Linked DNA regions of Drosophila melanogaster. The protein of the gene in region 1 interacts with the protein of each later gene in a pairwise test. Each region holds a gene or a part of one and is shown in the gene's direction. Other genes may lie near its edges. The genes, in order: CG14926, rtp, heca and CG42565.

What was found.
Region 2: the proteins of CG14926 (region 1) and rtp interact in a two-hybrid assay, tested with the Drosophila melanogaster proteins (one large-scale study listed by BioGRID).
Region 3: the proteins of CG14926 (region 1) and heca interact in a two-hybrid assay, tested with the Drosophila melanogaster proteins (one large-scale study listed by BioGRID).
Region 4: the proteins of CG14926 (region 1) and CG42565 interact in a two-hybrid assay, tested with the Drosophila melanogaster proteins (one large-scale study listed by BioGRID).

What each region holds. Positions count from the first base shown.
Region 1 is NT_033779.5:11,341,698-11,345,269, reverse strand, and holds CG14926 (uncharacterized protein), read left to right. Parts: upstream 1-1,951; 5' UTR 1,952-2,101; coding exon 2,102-2,170; intron 2,171-2,224; coding exon 2,225-2,433; intron 2,434-2,490; coding exon 2,491-2,687; intron 2,688-2,741; coding exon 2,742-2,791; 3' UTR 2,792-2,969; downstream 2,970-3,572.
Region 2 is NT_033777.3:5,235,262-5,238,905, reverse strand, and holds rtp (retinophilin), read left to right. Parts: upstream 1-1,590; 5' UTR 1,591-1,646; coding exon 1,647-1,674; intron 1,675-1,732; coding exon 1,733-2,033; intron 2,034-2,239; coding exon 2,240-2,507; 3' UTR 2,508-2,814; downstream 2,815-3,644. Other genes in the region: CtsF (cathepsin F), read left to right, coding at 1-452, 512-693, 750-1,015; Mms19, read right to left, coding at 2,872-3,063, 3,178-3,600. UniProt on the Drosophila melanogaster protein: Plays a role in promoting axonal degeneration following neuronal injury by toxic insult or trauma.
Region 3 is NT_033777.3:30,275,942-30,281,161, forward strand, and holds the start of heca (headcase), read left to right. Parts: upstream 1-1,990; 5' UTR 1,991-3,002; coding exon 3,003-4,306; intron 4,307-5,220. UniProt on the Drosophila melanogaster protein: Required for imaginal cell differentiation, may be involved in hormonal responsiveness during metamorphosis. Involved in an inhibitory signaling mechanism to determine the number of cells that will form unicellular sprouts in the trachea.
Region 4 is NT_033778.4:22,656,098-22,662,221, forward strand, and holds CG42565 (uncharacterized protein), read left to right. Parts: upstream 1-1,803; 5' UTR 1,804-1,891; coding exon of another isoform or gene 1,892-2,178; intron 2,179-2,825; coding exon of another isoform or gene 2,826-2,928; 5' UTR 2,929-3,614; coding exon of another isoform or gene 3,615-3,880; intron 3,881-3,938; coding exon of another isoform or gene 3,939-4,041; 5' UTR 4,042-4,453; coding exon 4,454-4,764; intron 4,765-4,971; coding exon 4,972-5,068; 3' UTR 5,069-5,292; downstream 5,293-6,124. Other genes in the region: CG43325 (uncharacterized protein), read right to left, coding at 256-367, 520-881; CG13510 (uncharacterized protein), read left to right, coding at 1,892-2,178, 2,826-2,928; CG13511 (uncharacterized protein), read left to right, coding at 3,615-3,880, 3,939-4,041.

The sequences.
Region 1 (3,572 bases):
TCGATGAGTTCCTCAAGATGGGACCATAAAACGATTTCCAAATGAAAACTGGAGGCACTCAGCCAGCTACTGCAGATGGAGATCATCATCATTATTATGATCATCAACGGCAGCAAAAGCAGCACGATATGAAGGGGTTACGGTCGATGGAAGATTGGAAGATGGGTACTATATGGCTAAAGTTCCCCCACGCGCCACCGATGATGCCAATGATTAATTGCCTCGAAAATGTTTGTTTTCATAAACAATTTTTTTAATAGACCCTCGCATATGTCGGCTGTCGGACGAGTCAGAAACCTGGATCTATCGGGGTCGACGAGTGGGCGGGGTCAAAGAGTTAAATCGATTCGAGTGTTGTCTTTGTCGGATCTTAATGCAGATGACTCCGATGACTCCGGAGTTTCAATGCAGCTATTTTCGTGTCCTCCGCCTCTGATCGATGCACTCGTGTTGGGAATGTAAAAAGAGTTGATAAATCAAAATGTTTTGCCGGGGTCACAAGGCAAGGCATTTGAACGCCCCCGTGGCCCTGACAAATGGGCCCATGGTATTTGGGCTTATTGAAGGTGTTAATTGGCAGCAATTAGGATGGACCTTAAGCGGTGGAAATTCATATTTTCCAACGTTTAAATACGTTTAAAATTAGACAAAATGTTGGTGGAGAAAATAGAAAGACAAACCAGAGTAAGAAAAATATTTATCCCCCGGACGAGGGTCGCCAAGAAATTTATGAAATTTCTGTGTGCTCTGGAGCTCGTGGCATTCCCGAAACAGATTTTTTCAATTAAAAATAAAAAATGTTTTCAACAGGTGACAAAACAATTTTACGGCCCCAAGACCGCACGAATGCCATAAAATGGGATTAGCCATCAGGGAGATGACGATCAAAGGAGGGCACTTCTCGTTTCCTTTCCTGATGCCTTGTTTTGAGTTAAAGGGACCATCAAATATTTTATGCATTTTAAATTGCTGCTAAAAAAGCAGAGCTAACGTTCCCTCATCTCTTGCCATTCCAGCCATAAATCTTAGGGCTCGGGAGATACATTTTGTGGGACGACAGGTAGATCCCATTGCTGGCTGGTCCAAGGACATGCCGACACTTGGCCTCAAGTGCATTATGAATATGAAGCAATAATTTATTTATGAACCTCATAACGATGCAATTTATGAGGTCATCTGCCATTGTCTGCTGCTCCTTTGTAGGTCAGTCTTTGGCCTTTGTTCTGCAGATCGGCAAGAAACATAAATAAAACTTGCATCGATAGGAAACTGGTTTGTCAGAGGCAGGGAAAAAGATACAGCTGTGCGGCATGCGGTGTGTACAGGTGGAAGTCGCTAAGGATAACAAGGTTTCTTATCTACCGAAGTGTGGCCCAACATGGGTTTTAGTTTGTAGTGCTAAAGTCCTTTTCGGACAAAATTTATTTAGTAGTTTCCTATCCAACTGGTTTATATTTCTTACAACTTTCACCAAGCACACCGTCTGAATATATTACATTTTTAGAATAAAACAATAATCAGTATTTATTGCGCTACATTTGCTTAAACATTTATTTATTTATCACCAGCATCTGGACATTAATTCCATAAATCAGCCACCCAGACACTGAAATGATTAATTCAATAAGTTTGAATGGCTGTTCTTAACTGCCATTAATAGGCTAATAATCTCGAGATGATGATTAAAAATGTTTATTATGACTGTGTTTGCACAAAATTTGAATTTTATTATGTCTAAGATTATATGAGAAGATCAGAGATAACATTTCAAAATCTCAGCATGATCTCAAATATTCCGTTAAGAGCGAGTATAGAACACAGACTGGTTTTTGCTAATGATATTCATGATGCGACAACGAAATGATTTATTTTGTTTGTTTTCCTGTTATAGAAGATTATAAACGTATAGATTGTACATGACTAAAACAAGTTAGAAGTTTTCAAATCAAGTAAGCATGGAAAACACATTAATGTGTACTTCAGTTGGCTCGAATTAGAAATCCTCATTTTTAGTCCGGCATTCAGTAAGGTAACAGATCGGCCAACAAAATTTTTTCAAAAACCATTTGAAATTTTTTTGAAATTTTTAAATTTTTTAACGATGGAAAACGGTCCGGAATTCAATTGGGAGTACAGCCATGGTGGTCAGGGAAATCCCAACTACTCACAGGTGAGTCTGCCTACGTACTTCGGTATCCGGGTCTAAACCATGGAATGGTTTCAGATGGGAAGGGGTAGTACTCCTCCTGGAGGCGGTGGTCGTCAGTGGCTGCACTCAAGTCAAGCGAACACCCAAAACTATTTGCATGGATCCAGTGGAATGGGATCGCACCAGAATAACGCATCTCCAGGTGATCCATTCGCCTCCTACAACCAAAATATGATGAACATGTACACGAATTTTAAGCCCAGTTACGGTCATTCTCAAGTTGGGTAAGTTTTTTTTTATGGATCTTAAGGCTGATCTAAAACTGTTTTGGGTTCTATTAGCCCGGCTTCGGTACAGGGCATGGGCTCAGAGCCTGGTCTTGAAATGGGTAACAGAATGGGCCATTCCATGCCCGAGTCTATGGGATTCGATGGAGGCATGGGTTCCGGCATGGGCATGAGCAATGGCCTTGGCGCTGGAATGCGAGTTGGTTCCATGCGTGGTGGTCAAAGGTTAGCTGGAGGCTACTCTTCGAATGGTAAGGCATTTTACTTACCTAATGAAGAATCGCATTAAAATCGTTTTTTTGTAGGTCTCAATGATCCGAACCCTTCGCAATCCCACCGTGGTAGTTGGTTCTAGAAGAGCCCATTAGTTCCTAACTAACTTTACGAATCTCATTTGGCACTTGAAAATTAAATATAATAGGCTTCCCATGAAATGTATATTCACAAAGCAAGTAACTCGAAATTTCCCGTTTAAGAATAATAAATTGATCACATAATAAATATTTGGCACATTTATCAATCTGCGATCACGTGTACGTTATCTATAGTTGTGACCGTTTAATTGTAATCGATATTCAAATATGGCCGAGGGTCAAACGGTGCCATTAACGCCGGCTAACCTTCTGCCCTTTTGGGTGCTGTGACCTCTGTCATCGGGGATCTGTGTATGGAAATCACGTAAGGGATGGGGTGGGGGGTGGCTTTAGTTGCGAGGGGTGGCGCAAGGGCATAAATAACAAATGCAATGTATTTGTATGTATAAATTATGATGATACTATTAGTTAGCATGTCATTCGGCAGCGGGTCTATAAATTACGGACAGGCAACAACTGCAGCAGTGCACACCCACCCTCCCATTTTTAGGGGCCAATGTGCATCCGTTTTTTTTTTTTGGGAGTTTTTATTAATAAATTTACATATACATACGATTTCGGGGGGCCCCTAAACATCGCCACTCGCCTGTCGCATGTCCCCAAATGAGGAACTCCTCCCGTTTCGGAAGTCCCGCGCGTGTGTAATGATCTGTCGCCCTGGATCAGGGCAGCGGATTAATGGTAAACCGAACGCATTTTTCATCGAACATTCCGTTGCATTTTTTTTCCTCGATTTTCCACTATGTTTTTAACAAGCGCCCA
Region 2 (3,644 bases), on another chromosome or scaffold:
GGCCGTCGCTACGTAAGCACCGCCGAGCGCCAGATGCGCCTGCGCATTTTCCGTCAGAACCTGAAGACTATCGAGGAGCTAAACGCCAACGAGATGGGCAGCGCCAAGTACGGCATCACGGAGTTTGCTGATATGACCAGCTCGGAATACAAGGAACGCACGGGACTCTGGCAGCGTGATGAGGCAAAGGCCACTGGCGGATCGGCGGCTGTCGTACCGGCTTACCATGGTGAACTGCCGAAGGAGTTTGACTGGAGGCAGAAGGATGCTGTCACCCAGGTGAAGAATCAGGGATCCTGCGGTTCATGCTGGGCCTTCAGTGTGACCGGCAACATCGAAGGCCTGTACGCAGTGAAAACGGGCGAATTGAAAGAGTTCTCCGAACAGGAGCTGCTGGACTGTGATACCACGGATAGTGCCTGCAACGGCGGCCTCATGGACAATGCTTACAAGTAAGTTACGAGGGAATGAACATTACGATGTAGATACTTATGTAATAATTCCTCCGCAGGGCCATTAAGGATATTGGCGGCCTAGAGTACGAGGCTGAGTACCCATACAAGGCCAAAAAGAATCAGTGCCACTTCAACAGGACTTTGTCCCACGTTCAGGTTGCCGGCTTCGTGGATCTGCCGAAGGGAAATGAGACCGCCATGCAGGAGTGGCTTCTCGCCAATGGTCCCATTTCGATCGGTAAGTCGATGCAGAAAATTAACCCCAAAGCCCACTTAACCAGATCATTTCTCTAGGCATCAATGCGAATGCTATGCAGTTCTATCGCGGCGGAGTTTCCCATCCGTGGAAGGCCCTGTGCTCCAAGAAAAACCTCGACCACGGTGTTCTAGTTGTGGGGTATGGCGTCTCCGACTATCCCAATTTCCACAAGACCTTGCCCTACTGGATTGTGAAGAACTCGTGGGGTCCGCGCTGGGGAGAGCAGGGCTATTATCGCGTTTATCGTGGTGACAACACTTGCGGCGTCAGCGAAATGGCCACTTCGGCTGTGCTGGCCTAGACTTGCTTTGAGTCCAATTATATACAAGCATACGACTATATCTAGGTTAATAATTTAGCCAGTAACTTTGTGTACAATTAATTCTGTTTCCATGTTCTTCAACCGTCACGATAAGGAGTCGTTGAGTTTCAAAGCTTCGCCTATATAGTATAATCATTTCAGACATCTGTAATCTCACGAAAAAGTCTGCATCCACATATTCCGCTTTAATTGAAAATAACAATAAATTGTACAAGAATTAAAACCTGGTTGGGTTTATTATTGAATCCATGACAGCTCTGGCCGCAGCAACAGTTGGTCAAGATTGATGGTTGGTTGGATCAAGAAAAATGTTGAATTTATGTGAGATGTATTCAAATTATTCGATTAAAATGGTTTGATTAAATATGGGTGCCAGAGTATTATTGGCTGTTAAGAAATATTTATAACTGCTTCAATTACTGGAACATTTGACCCAGTGATTTTGATGATTGATTTTCAAACACTTTGTCAGTGTGTAGAAGTGCAATATGTTAATTAGATTTAGACCAGGGCCGTCGCACCGTGGGAAGCCATAGAAAATGAGTGTTTCTGGTGCAGAACCAGCCAGCTCAGTAGCAGCTTGAAGCGCATCGCGGGCGGTAGCGGAGCAATGGCCATGGACGACTACGATGATGACAGTAAGTGAACACAGACAAAAGGATGCAGATACAAAATTGCGTAAAAATCATTACCCAGTGAGCAGCGTGGGCGTGACCACGGCCCGAATCGAGAACCAGCACCAACAGCACCCCCACCAGCAGGGTCAGCATGGACACCACCAACAGGGCCAGGGTCAAAGCCAGTACAGCGCAGGGGCGGTCAAAGTGGGCGGATGGCGATACGAGGACGCCAGTCGCTACATCGGCGAGTGGAACCAGCGTGGCCAAAAGCACGGCATCGGGCATCTGCAGTTCGCCGATGGCACCCGCTACGATGGGCAGTTCCAGGAGGGTCTTAGTCAAGGAGTGGGCTGCCTCTGGTTCGCGGATGGAGCAAAGTCAGTTTCAATAATATTAGTGATGTAAACCTAAACGAAATATTGTAGCACTTGAAAACTATTCTTGTAGCCACTACTCGGGGAGTAAGAGGAAATGCTAGTATATATATTCTTGATCAGAAATGGTTTAGCTATAATTTACCTAGGGTTTGCATCCAGTGAAGAAAATTGTATATGATGATTCATTTTGCACATTTTTAAGACAGATACGAAGGCGAGTTTCATCAGGGCTGGTTTCATGGTAATGGGATCTTCTGGAGAGCCGATGGAATGAAGTACGAGGGCGAGTTTCGAGGCGGCAAGATCTGGGGCCTGGGATTGCTGACGTTCCAGGACTTCACGCACGGCTTTCCCAGAAACGAGGGATTCTTTCAAGACTGCCGCTTTATGAGACGACGTCGATGTCCCGAGGTGGTGCAGCGTGCACAAAAGTGCGCTCTTATGGCCCGTTCCCAGTGCGAACACCCATACTGAACAGACACTTCAGATTGGTTACCAGTTGGTATTGATAAACACGTACAGTTTAAAAATACAAATTTTAGTAACCGACTGTAAGAGTCTCAAGTCATAAAACAGAAAAAGGTGCCTTTAAGAAAAGAAATAAGCATTTCTTTCTTAACATCTTAAACTTTAATACATTTGCGCATAAACGTTCGTAAATGTATCTAAGTAATATAAAATGCATACAATTTCGCGTTTACTTTATAATTTTGCTTTTTCCAAATTCTTTATCAAAAATTCTTCAACGCACCCTAATAAAAACAACAAGAAAATTATGAAGAATTTGTGCGTGTGCTTATTGGATTATAATATTAACAAGAACGGAGTTGTTTCTCTGCTAATTCGGACTAGGCGCACCGACCAGGTACCACGCATTCCTGGCCTTCACCGCTGTGTTCCGCACCAGACGCTTGGGATCATCCAAGGCGGCGGCCAGGGCCAGAGTAACATCGACTTTGTGGGGCAACAGGACGAAGGTAGGATACTTTGTCACATCGTAGAGCAGCTGCAGCGCCGCAATTCGCACTTGCTATAAGAAAGAAAATGAGTTTAAGTTTTGTGTTCGACATTTTCCTTTACAAGTTAAGAAACCTCCTCAATTAACTATCAAATCTTTATAATAATATGTGCATGTTTAACTTACCATGGTATGCTGAGCCTTGTATTTCGACAGCTCCAGACAGCTGGGTATGAGGTGGGCCAAATGCCCTTGGAAATACGTGTCCTGCTGCGCCACAAACTTTTCACAGATGCCCAATGCAATGCACAGCGACTGCGCCTCGTTGTGCTCCTCCAAGCTCTTGAAAAGCAGCGGACCGAGCTGCTCAATGTTTAGCTTAATAACCGCCTGTGGCGTGGCTTTCAGTACGTAGACAAAAGCCTTCAAGTGGTGCACACAGTAGTTGGCAAGTTTGCTGCCCATTTTTCCCATGATAGTGTGGAAAAGCTTCTGCTTGTAGAGGAATTTAACGACAGGCAAATCCAATTCTGGGTACTCGGCGGCAATGATGTCGAATCCCAAGGCAGCGGCAGTGCTCAAACTGGGATGTTTTAGTAGATCCGAGAGCTTTAATGAGACAATATTATTTCACGAATAAGAACTAGAGAACT
Region 3 (5,220 bases), on another chromosome or scaffold:
AGAGTCGAAGAGAACACAAAGCGAAATCCTTGAGAATTATAAAGCGGCGATGACAACAACAACAAACTAGTTCGCCCCTCCTTTGTTCTTTTACCCTCTCCACCGACGATCCTTTAGCTAGAACAACAAACAACCTATACATACATAATTACATACATGCATACCTAAATATACTCGTACGTACGATCCTATTACGCAATGGCTGCCGATCTGCCTACCTGACTGACTTAATTATTATATCAGAACCCTCTGGTTCTCTCCCTCCTGCTCGCTCTTCTTCTACCCGGCAGGTCAAAATCGAGAGAAAAAAATGGAAACTGCGCAGTTTGACTCGAAAATAAGTGGAATTGGACCTTGACTTTGCACCGCAGTTACCAAAAGAATAGAACCCCGGATCCTGAGATCCTGAGTCCTATAAGAAAACCCCATCTGGTTGCGAGATCCCTTCCCTTTACCACTTTTCGTTCTACACGTGCCTGTTTTTTGCCATTTCTACCGCTTCTTCTTATTCGTTTTCGCATACTTTTTTTTTTTGCAACACAGCGGGAATTTTTATATGTGTGTATGTACATATATACACAAAGGCGAGGATACAATAAAAAGGCTCTACGTTTGAAAGCTTATTTGGGTTTTGGTGGCAACTTTAATACCCTACAGTCAAAACACAAATAAGTAGTCATAATACAAAAGTTACCTGCGATATTCGTAATCTTAGGACTAATATCAACAATTTAACTATTACAATTATTCATACATATGTACATACTTGTTTCAATTGAAAGCAGTAATAGGTCTGCGTATTCAAGTTTTAATTGGTTGTTTTAATTCAAGGTAGGGTATCTTCAACTCTTTTTCGTTCAATGTTTTAATTCTCTTCCTTTTTGTCTCTGCCACTTTTATTGCCAGCACTCGCATGCATTCATTGTATTTGTATTTTTGTGCAAATGTGCTTGCGAATATATAGGGGATTATATAGATACGTTTGTATGTAAATATATAACAGCAATCGAAGCGTGCGACAGAGAACGGCAGTTCCGACAGAGGGAGATGGAGACATCGAACGGCATTTCCACTTCCACTGGAATTAAAAGATTAGCCACGGAAAGCAAAAGTGCGCTGCAAGTTCGAGTTCCAGCGACTCGGCAACCCTGTTTTCATGTTGTTTACTTTGCCGGTTTCTGGCACAAACACATATGCACGCTCCATGCATGTGGAACAGAGCCAACGCGCTCGACGTTCGCATGGCAACTGCAGTCGAACATGTTGGAGGGGAAACGACCGGCTTCGAACTTGATTCGAACCAGCTTCGAGCCGCAACGAAAGTGAATTTTGGCGAATCATCGAGAGCTCCTAATTGTAAATGAAATGGATGTAAAATCTAAAAATTCTAATAAATAATTAAATTTAGATTATTTAATAATAATCGAATTCATTTAATTTTGGAACCAAAACATAGGGAGAAATATATATTCCTTTTTGGCTATAAAGTTAGAAACATGTTATTATTATTCTTATTAGTTTAAAGAAAATACGGCTTGATAGAAACATTTTCTATGGAAATGAAGCTTATTAACAAAAGTCTAAACTCCTACATATATTTTTAAGACATTTAATCTAATCAAGTATGTAACTGCTATCAAAAGTTCCGTTGTAAAGTGGGAAAATGTACCAAATTCTGGCCTACAGTGGAAAATTCTAGTGAATTAGACACTTTTTTTGTAGCCCCTTCCGCAATTTTCCCCCACCATTTCTCATTTTAGCGCCAAAAATCTGTTCAGTTTTCCACCGAATGAAAAGCGAGCGGTTGGCGGCGGTGGTGGAAAGTGAAAACCAGCCAACCACCACCCACCAACCCCGAAAAACGGAATGAAGAAGTGCGGAAAATCGGAGTGGAGGAAAACTCCAACTTCGCTGCCAATGCCAAGCAGCGACGCCGGCAGCGATGTTCGACGCGCGATGTTCGAACGCGGCGAGCAAGCACAGACCAAAAACAGTTTGAATTTCGCTTTCGATCTGGTTGGTTGTGTTTTTTGGCTTCTCTCTGCGTGCGCCGCTCGTGGTGGGAAAAAACGGAAAACAGGAGAACTAGCAAAACCGAATAAATCGAAGAGGAACACTCCAGTTTACAATTGTCCTGCGACTAAAAACCAATCGGAAATTTACACTATCCTCTAATCCTTTTTGTTTGCCGGCAAAAAAATAAGAGGCGCAAAGAAATAAACGCAGAAAGCGAAGCAAAATGTGAAAAATTGCCGAACATGGCGCCGCGTGTGTGAATGAGAGCGAACGATCGTGTGAGAGGGAGATAGGGACGAAGCGAAGATAAACAATAAAAAAAAAACAATTTTTGATACTTAAAGTTCTACAACAACAATAAACTCAGCTCAGGTACAACAACAAAACAGAAAATTACGCAAAACACAACAGACTGCATTGACGGGAATTTTTCGAAGTATTTTTGATACACACAGCAAGGAGGTGTACAATTTTTAAAGCAATAAGTGAAAGCAATTACCCATCAAGTTAAAAATAATACCAATCTCGGTAGAAACCCACTCGGAAAATCCAACTGAAAACAATTGAAAAAGGCAACCGAAAAGTTAAAACCTAAACAGACTAAATCGCTAAAATAACAAGCATTTACTATACACAAAAAAATTAAATTCCGTATAAAATCAGACTTTTGTCTGCAAAATTTCTAAAAATTTACAAAAACCCACTAAAATTCACGAAAACTCACTGGATCTGCCAAAACCATCAGTTGAAATATATTCTGGAATCGGTTCAAAAATAAATAAATATATGCCAGCAGCATTTATATAGACCGCAAATCGCACCATAAAATCGCGAAAAAATCAACAAGCAATATTTTGAAATTCATAATCGTTGGCAAAATGCTGATTCGAAATAGAGATTGAGGATTCTCGAGGACAGCCAACCCAGCCAACCAACCAAGTTTTTCGCCGCAACGAGTGCATATTAAGAGGAAAAAACACAAATTTATGGCTCCGCGTCGCAACAGCAACATCAGCAGCAGCGGCAACAGCACCCAGCAGCAGCACCAGCAACAGTTGCAGCAGCAGCACCAGACGCAGCAGCATCAACTGCTGCAGTTCTACGCGGAGAACGTGAATTCTTCAGGCGTCCTAATGGCGCCCATGCAGGGAACCGGTGGCGTTGGCGGCGTTGGCGGCGGGGGCATGGTCCACTGCTGCCTGCCCAGCGGAGACTGTCGCAAACTGGACACCCTGATACACCTGAACGAGCTCTCCCTGGCGGACTGCATCCGTGTGCTGTGCAACAACGAGAACTGCAGCGCAGGCCAGTACATGCATCGCGAGTGCTTCGAGTGGTGGGAGGCGAGCGTGCTGCAGGCACTGAAGGCCAACGGTCGTGCTCGATCCTGGTCGGAGCGGCAGCGTCTGCAGCACCTGTGGACCAAGAAGGGCTACGAGCTGGTCCAGAAGGCCTGCAGCTGCAAGTGCGGCAGGGGACAATTGCGCAAGGACCTCGACTGGGTGCCGCCGAGCAGCCAGGGCGTCATATACCTCAACGGGTCTGGCAACCGGCCCACTCTGGCCAATGGCAGCCTCAGCGAGGACGACGACAAGAAGAAGGCCAAGAAGAAGAGGAACCGCAACAACAACAACAACAACGGCGGCGGCGGTGGTGGTGGTGCTGGTGTCAATGGCAACACCAAAACCCCCTTGAGCAACAACAACGGCAACAGCTACGCCGGACTCACGCCCAATCCCAATGTGGGCGTCATAGGGTCGGGTTTGCCCCACAACAACGGCAACACCGCCAGCAATGGCAGCAGTGGCAACAACGGCTCCTCCGGCGTTCTGCAGACCAGTGCGCTGGCCACTTTCAGCAACATCCTCAATACGAACAATGTCCTCGGCCTGGACCTGCGCGCCAGGGCTGGCAGCCTATCCTCCAGTGGAGCTGGCAGTGGATCCACCTCGCCCTCGGACTCCCAGTCCAGTGGCGAGATATCCGTGTCGCCGGTGCAGCAATTGCTGCCACAGCAGCAGCAGCAACAGCAGCAGTCGCTGCTGATCCAGCCTCTGGGTCCAGCTTTCGGCAGCAACCTTTTGCAAAATGGATTGGGCTTGTCCAAGAATCTGCTGATTGCTCCCCAGCAGCAGCAGCAGCAGCAGCTGCAACAACAACAGCAGCAGCAGAATAACCTGCCTGCTTTGGCCAATATCAGCAACTTCAAGCCATTGGCCAGCTACGAGCAGCAGCAACTTGTGCAGCAGCAGAAGAACAAGGAGGTCGAACTCTATTCCGATCGAGTGCGGTAAGTACAAGATATCATCATGATAACCATATAGATTATAAGGAGCTATAGTCTTATTGTCTAGAATTTCATCTTAAATACTTGGTTAACTTGTTTAACAAAGCGAAATTTGTGTGGCGAAATTCCCCAGCATGTGGTTGGGGTACATAAGCGTTTCAATATTTATTCACAAAACTTTTATCAATTACACTGAACGACAAGGGGGGCCTTAATATTTCGAATTTATTTACTGCAGTTGTTATAAGTTTTGTTTAGCTTTTCCTTTGATAAAACTTCCAGTGGCTTCAGGTGTTATCAACAAACATGCCAAATAGATACCAGATTGATACTCTCGTTCCTTTATCGTGTTGCACAGTGTTATCAACAATTGAGGCGTTTGTTTGCCCGTTTTTCGTTCGTTTGCCGGTTCCATAGATTATATAACCTTGACGACTGAACAGCTGCGAAATACAGACAATATTTGCAGAAATATTAAATAAAATGCGCTGGTTTATTCGAGAAATTTGCGAATATTTTCCCCTTAAGGAAGTCGACGATTTGCATCAACTCAGAGGGAATGAATAAAATATTATAATCTTTTGTTTTGTTGCTTTCGGTGGGTCAAGGCTTTCTTTCTTTTATTCTGCTGTAGTTCTTCACTCTTCATTGGCATTCTTTTTACTCATAAATCATAGGCAATGAAAAATTATTGAAATTTATATGCTGCCATATAGCAGCGGACATTTATCGTATGGTATGTTTCCCAGATGTGTTCTTGTTCTTATTTATTTTGTGCCTACTTTTAATATTTCCGTTTCCCAGAGCAGCGAATACTATTATTTATTTCATTGCGATCAAAAAAAAAAAAAAATGCGAATAGGAGAACAACACGAAGAGGAATTAGATCGCTTTTTGTGTTTTTTTTTTTTTTAATG
Region 4 (6,124 bases), on another chromosome or scaffold:
AAACATTTTGGCGAATCCCGAGGCAGTGAAATTCGAAAAAGAGATCTATCTGACCAAAGAGATCTAATTGAAGAGAAACCACTGAGAGAATCATGCAGCAATCAACAATTTTTTGGCACTCGGCTCTTCAGTCTCAGCAGCGCTCATCACTCGCCGCAAGGTCAACAAAAAGTGCTTAAAAACTAAACAAAACAAACAATTATAAGCGGAGCACCCACTCCGTTTGCCCCAACCCACGACCCCCATCCCTTCATCTCACTGTCTTTTCCATGCCCCCAAGAGGTAACCACACTTGCCGCAGATGACCTTGCAATCGTTGGTGGAGCGCCTCGGGCAGCAGGGATAGATGGGCAGCAGGGCAAAGCAGCTGGAAATGGATAAGGAAATAATCTGAATTAGAAATATAAATACTTCCGATCTTTGTTATTATCCTAATAGCCCTATACTACGATTAAATAATCTTATTTATATTCCATCCTAAGAATTTACTTTAAAGAAATGTCCTGGCCTTGCACTCACCACATGGTAAGGAGTCGCTCCAGGCGGACTCCCTGCTCGTGCAATCGCTCGTGGCACTCCGGACAGTACATCTGGCGGAGGCAACTAATGTTGGTGGCAGCGGGCGGCGGAGGTGATACCTTCTCGGCCAGTTGGCCTGTGGAGTTGCTCTTCCGGCAGAAGTAGGTATCCGGCTCGGAGTCCTCGGCATAGCCGTAGGGATAGCCTCTGTGTGGGGGCGTGGCCAGGAGCAGCTGGTCCAAGGCCTGAGCCGACTTCTGCTTGACCTGGCCGCAGTTGGGGTTCAGGTTAATCTCCACCAGATCCGCTGCGAACTCCTCGTCGTCGGGAGCTTGAAGGTGGAACTTTAGCTGACGGCTCATGTTGTTGAACTGACTCGACTCGGGTTTTCTATTTGCCTATAAATTGGGTTATTTTACAATTGAAACATAAGAAACATAAGTCAAACAGCTATCGCTTGGCGAGGGGGATTTATTATTATATTTTTTGGGCTGAGGGGGGAGTTAGACAAACCAGTTGTTCATCTGTTTGTCAAGCCCCCGTATTTGCCTAACACTATTTTCATGGTTGCGATGTTAACGGCTGCACTTGAACGTAGATCCCATGAGGAAAGCTTCCACAAAGCTGCCGGCGAGTGGGTGGTAAATGGAGCTTTTTCTATAAAAAATATACACAGTTATCTTAACCCATTGAAGATCGAAGTCTGTTTTTATTTTGACTTGAATAATTAAGACATTTCATAAGGTTTTTCAGGAAATAGTATCAAGCACGGAAAATATATATATTATTTTTAATCACAAATTAAGCAAGTTACACATTAATATCCAATATCCAATAAATAATTAAAAAAAATAAAGGCTTCACAAATGGAATGATGATGCTTCAACTGGCAAAGAATCATATCTACATATGTACATATATATAAACCGGTCACGCATTTGGTAAATTACAAAAATATTATATTATGGCGAGAGCACTCGAGTCGACAACCTGTGTTTGTTTATACTCTCTCCTCGCAAAATACACGTACTAAATGTTACATATGTATATTTTGGCCTTATTCATTGCCTTTATATGCAATAAAGGTGTTATCAAACAAGTGACTCATCTGTCGCCTATTCGGAGGAGAAGCATCGCTGTAGCTCACTAAATCAAGTGCACAATAAAAGAGGTATCCGATTATTAGTTCGACAGAAACCCCACTTGTATGGTAGCTATCACCTCTCGACGATAAGATAGTAGCCAATCGTTGAGGTATTGCGGGAGCCACAGTTTAAGTTCGTTCCTCAGTGCAACGCCAGCCAGCAAAGCGATCGGTTCAGTTCGGCCGGAAATCCAGAGTCTGCATCAAGAAGAAACATAATCCGAAACTATGGACAGCAAGCAGCCTCCACCGTACAGTGAACAGTCCGGATACACTCCCGCACAAACCTATCAGCCCGGTGGCCCCACCCAGCCACCACTGTACCCACCGATGCCGCAGCCACCGCAGTCCTCAACGGTGATCATCCAGACCACCACAACCTCCAACCTGGTGCCCATCGGCAGTGGACCCACCCGCATCCGCTGTCCCTCCTGTCACGCCGAAGTACTGACCACCGTGAAGTCCACTCCTTCCGGCAGGACGCACTGCTGGGCCCTCATCCTGTGCCTGTTCATGTGAGTCTTATAGTCACTAGTCATCTGATCTGAAGTCACTGCTTGCCACCATATGTATGTATGTATGTTGATTGGTCTCAGGAGCTTTGGGCCAACGAAAGTATCTTAGGGGGGACTTAGTGCTTCATTAATCCAGTCAAATGACCTTTTTATAAAATTGCGCAAAATGGAGTAAACCATTTTTAAAAGCAATACAAATCGGATATGTTGCCTATTAAATTCAGTAATATACATAGATGATATGATATCCTATAGATGATATCCTAACAATCTAGATATGTTTTCGTATCGCCCAAGCAGAAATGTTCTATAACCATTTTATTGCCAACTCGTTACAATAGCTCGGTTAAATGTTAAAAAGCTACGCCCATGAACCACTTGCGGCCCCTTATCGCTTGGAAAAAACAATAGGTTTCTACAGGTATTGCGACTGTGTGTACTGGTAATATGTGAAAACATTGTTATCTCAACTGGAACTGGAGTTGAGTCAGATAACGAATCCGAGTGGAAAGACGGGGTGAAAGCAAGCAAACTGACTGATTACGGCCTGTAGACGTCGTAAAGGCCAATTCGGAATTAGTGCTCTGACTAATAGTTTAATTCCCCGAACTTATCTAATCGATTCGTTTTCCACTCTATCCACACAGCTGCTGGCCGTGCGTATGCCTACCTTACTGCATGGACTCCTGCCAGAATGCCAACCACTACTGCCCCAACTGCAGCGCCTACATCGGCACCTACGAGAACTAACTAACTAACGCCTATTTATGCATACAAACGTATATACCTATAGAGAACCCTAAGCACTAGCGTCATAACCGAGAAAAATTGAACTGTAAATACACATGTACGAACGCCACACATTAAACTCATGAGACTCACACAGGAAACAGAAATGCGACAAGATATCTTGGGACAAGGCACTCTTTCCGCTAAATGGATTATGAAGTAATTTAATATTTTCAGAAATGTCTATGATAATGTTGACATTATTTAGTATTTTCCACTACATTTTGTACTGGTACTAAACAATTTCGATCGATCATTACGAGAAACCAACGCCAACATTTTAATGACCATTTTAAAACAATCTTTTTACTTTTTACTATCGCTTAAAAACCGTAATCAGTAAAATGGATCATAAATATCATAAATAGCTAAGACTATATCAATTGTTGTCTAGGAAACATAAACCCTTCTGGCACCTACTCAAGCCAACAACTGGAAATGGCCAAATGGCACAGAGCTACTGGAACCGAATGTCAATCGATTAGGTACTGCACTGGCCGACTCCTCTTGTACCCCTCCATATCGTCATAGTCATAGTAGGTTTCACCTAAAAAGTACTTGTCGATTAGTCAGAAAAGATAACGATTGCGATAGAGCAATGTTGTCATTAAATGGCGGGCTATTTCAGTGCATGCCCCGCCGCAAACATGAGCAGCACATGGATGGGCAGAGCTCCAGAACCGGCCGACACGGAAATGGTGACCGTAACCACGCAGCCAAACTATGGGGTGGTGGTGACCCAGATACCCGTCTACACCCTGAACGGAGTGGGGCCGGGCGCACATCCACTGGCTGTGGGCTGCAAGCCGATGAGGGTGAGGTGTCCGTCCTGCAGGGGCGAGGTCACCACCAGTCTGGCCACGTCCCCCACCCGCAAGACCCACATGTGCGCTCTGACCTTGTATATCTGCTGGTGAGTGGGGCGTCAGGATACCACCGGGCTTACTAACTTTGCTAACCTGATTCTCCAGCTGCTGGCCCTTCATCTGCCTTCCCTACTTCATCAACTACTGCAAGAGTGTCCAGCACTACTGTCCCAACTGTGGATGCCACATTGGGAGCTATAGCATTTGATCAAGTGCTGTGTCTCCGCACTGCCAAAAATGCCTTCCATGTCAAGACTTAATCAAGATTAGCCATATATGTATACAGATACATAAAATAATAACGTTTTAAATTTAAGTTCTTTTTGTTAATGACGGATGGTTTCTACTACTCTCACTGCACATATGAAGTAATCTTTTCTGGTCCATAATTTCCTCACCTAGTGTGCCAGTAGATAGATTTTATATTCGTATTAGGATAAATACCCAGAATATGAGGAAAGCGAATCAATTGAATACCGATACCGATAAGGCAGTTCTGAGTTTAATGAAACTGTCATCGATATACATATACGGAAGCTTTCAGTATTATATCAGTGCTCGTTCGCAGCTGTAAGCAACTGGTTGATATTTTTAGTGTGATTTGAAGAGTATAGAAAAGCATGCGTTGCTACAAGCGCGTAGACTCCCCGCCGCCCTACTCGGATCCATTCGCCACCGCTCCTCCAGCGGAGGACGTCATGCAGCAGAACCTGGCGTCGCCCGCACATCCCAATCCGGTGATACCCGTGATGGCCCAAACCATGCCGGTGTTGCAGCCCGTAAGCGTGATGCATCACCAGACGACAGTGCTGGTGGACAATACCCGCCAGGGAACGATCTGTCCCCACTGCAACGCTCGGATTCGCCTTCGCGTGGAGCACCATCCTACCGGATCAACTTACTGTATGGCGGCGTTGCTCTGCCTATTCCTGTAAGTAGATCGCATTTATGGTTGCAAGTATAGCAACAAAGGTTTGTACATACATAATGTGTATGTAAGCAAACGGAAAAAGAAATGTTTTTACTAGTCTGCTATATCTGTGGCCGCAATTGTTTTGCTTCTTCCTGGACAAGCTATGAGAAATTGCTGATCGTGCCTTATAAGCTATATACTCTATTTCCCATCTCTATCCACCAGATGCTGGCCCTGCGTCTGCGCCCCTTGCTGCTGCAACTGTTGCTACAAGACCTCCCAGTACTGTCCCAACTGCAACTCCTGCTTGGGTTCGTTTTGAAGACGCAGCGAAAACACTCGCCGATTTCATATCATTTCATTTTATATATATGTATATATATATACATAACCAACTATACATACATATATGTATGTATGTTCATATCTCCTTATGTATCGACGGCGTCAATGTGGTGTCTTCATCACTTAACATACATAAAAATATGTTTGCTTAGTGAGCAAAATAAGCTGACAGCGAAAAAATAAACAAATAGATTTTGAAGCGAATGGAATTTTCTTTAATTTCTGTTTCTGGGTATCTGGCTACATTGTTGCTGCAGACAACTAGATTTGCAGAAAAAATAATGTGAAACTTAATTGTTCATACGTTTTTTTTTTTTGTTTTTGTGTACTTTTTGGCGGTCTTTTCCCGAAACTTTTTCGTAGCACAACTCTTTTGTGTCCAGCAATAAATGTTGATATGAAACTGTTTTGAACCGGTAAAATGTTGCTGGGACGAACCGGCATGTTGGCACAGTTTAAATTGATGCTAAGATGCTTCAAGATTACTGTTCATGCTATTAAATGAAATCACTGAAGTTCTTTGCATTATAATTGAATATTTAGTAAAATATTTGAATTTCTGCTAAATGTTTAGTTCTTAAGAAATGGAATAAAAGGATTTTAATTTAACTCAGCCTAGGGATACGCTGTAATCAATTTTAAGGATGTATATAAATATCACTTCCCAGTTAGGCAACATAATGTTGCTAACGGAAATACTTTTGGAAGTGTAGTGTCCCGCTTCGCGCCCTAAACTTCTGACCGCACAACACTTTCGCAGCCCAAACAGTGCGCATTAACTTTTTGTCTCTCTGTGAAATCGGAATTCTACTTTATTTATTTTGACAACGTACCCACCCATACAGATTGTAAGTATGACGGGAGAGATATATTATGCAAGCCTAGGATTGGGTCAAACATGAGCAACGGACTATTATAGTCAGGTCTAATTGGGTAATATCTGGTTGTTTAGATGTTTACCGCTGCTTTGCCGCTCCCCAAAAAATTTACTTTTGCTTGGGGGAGAACTCAGCAAAGACATACAGGACGACAG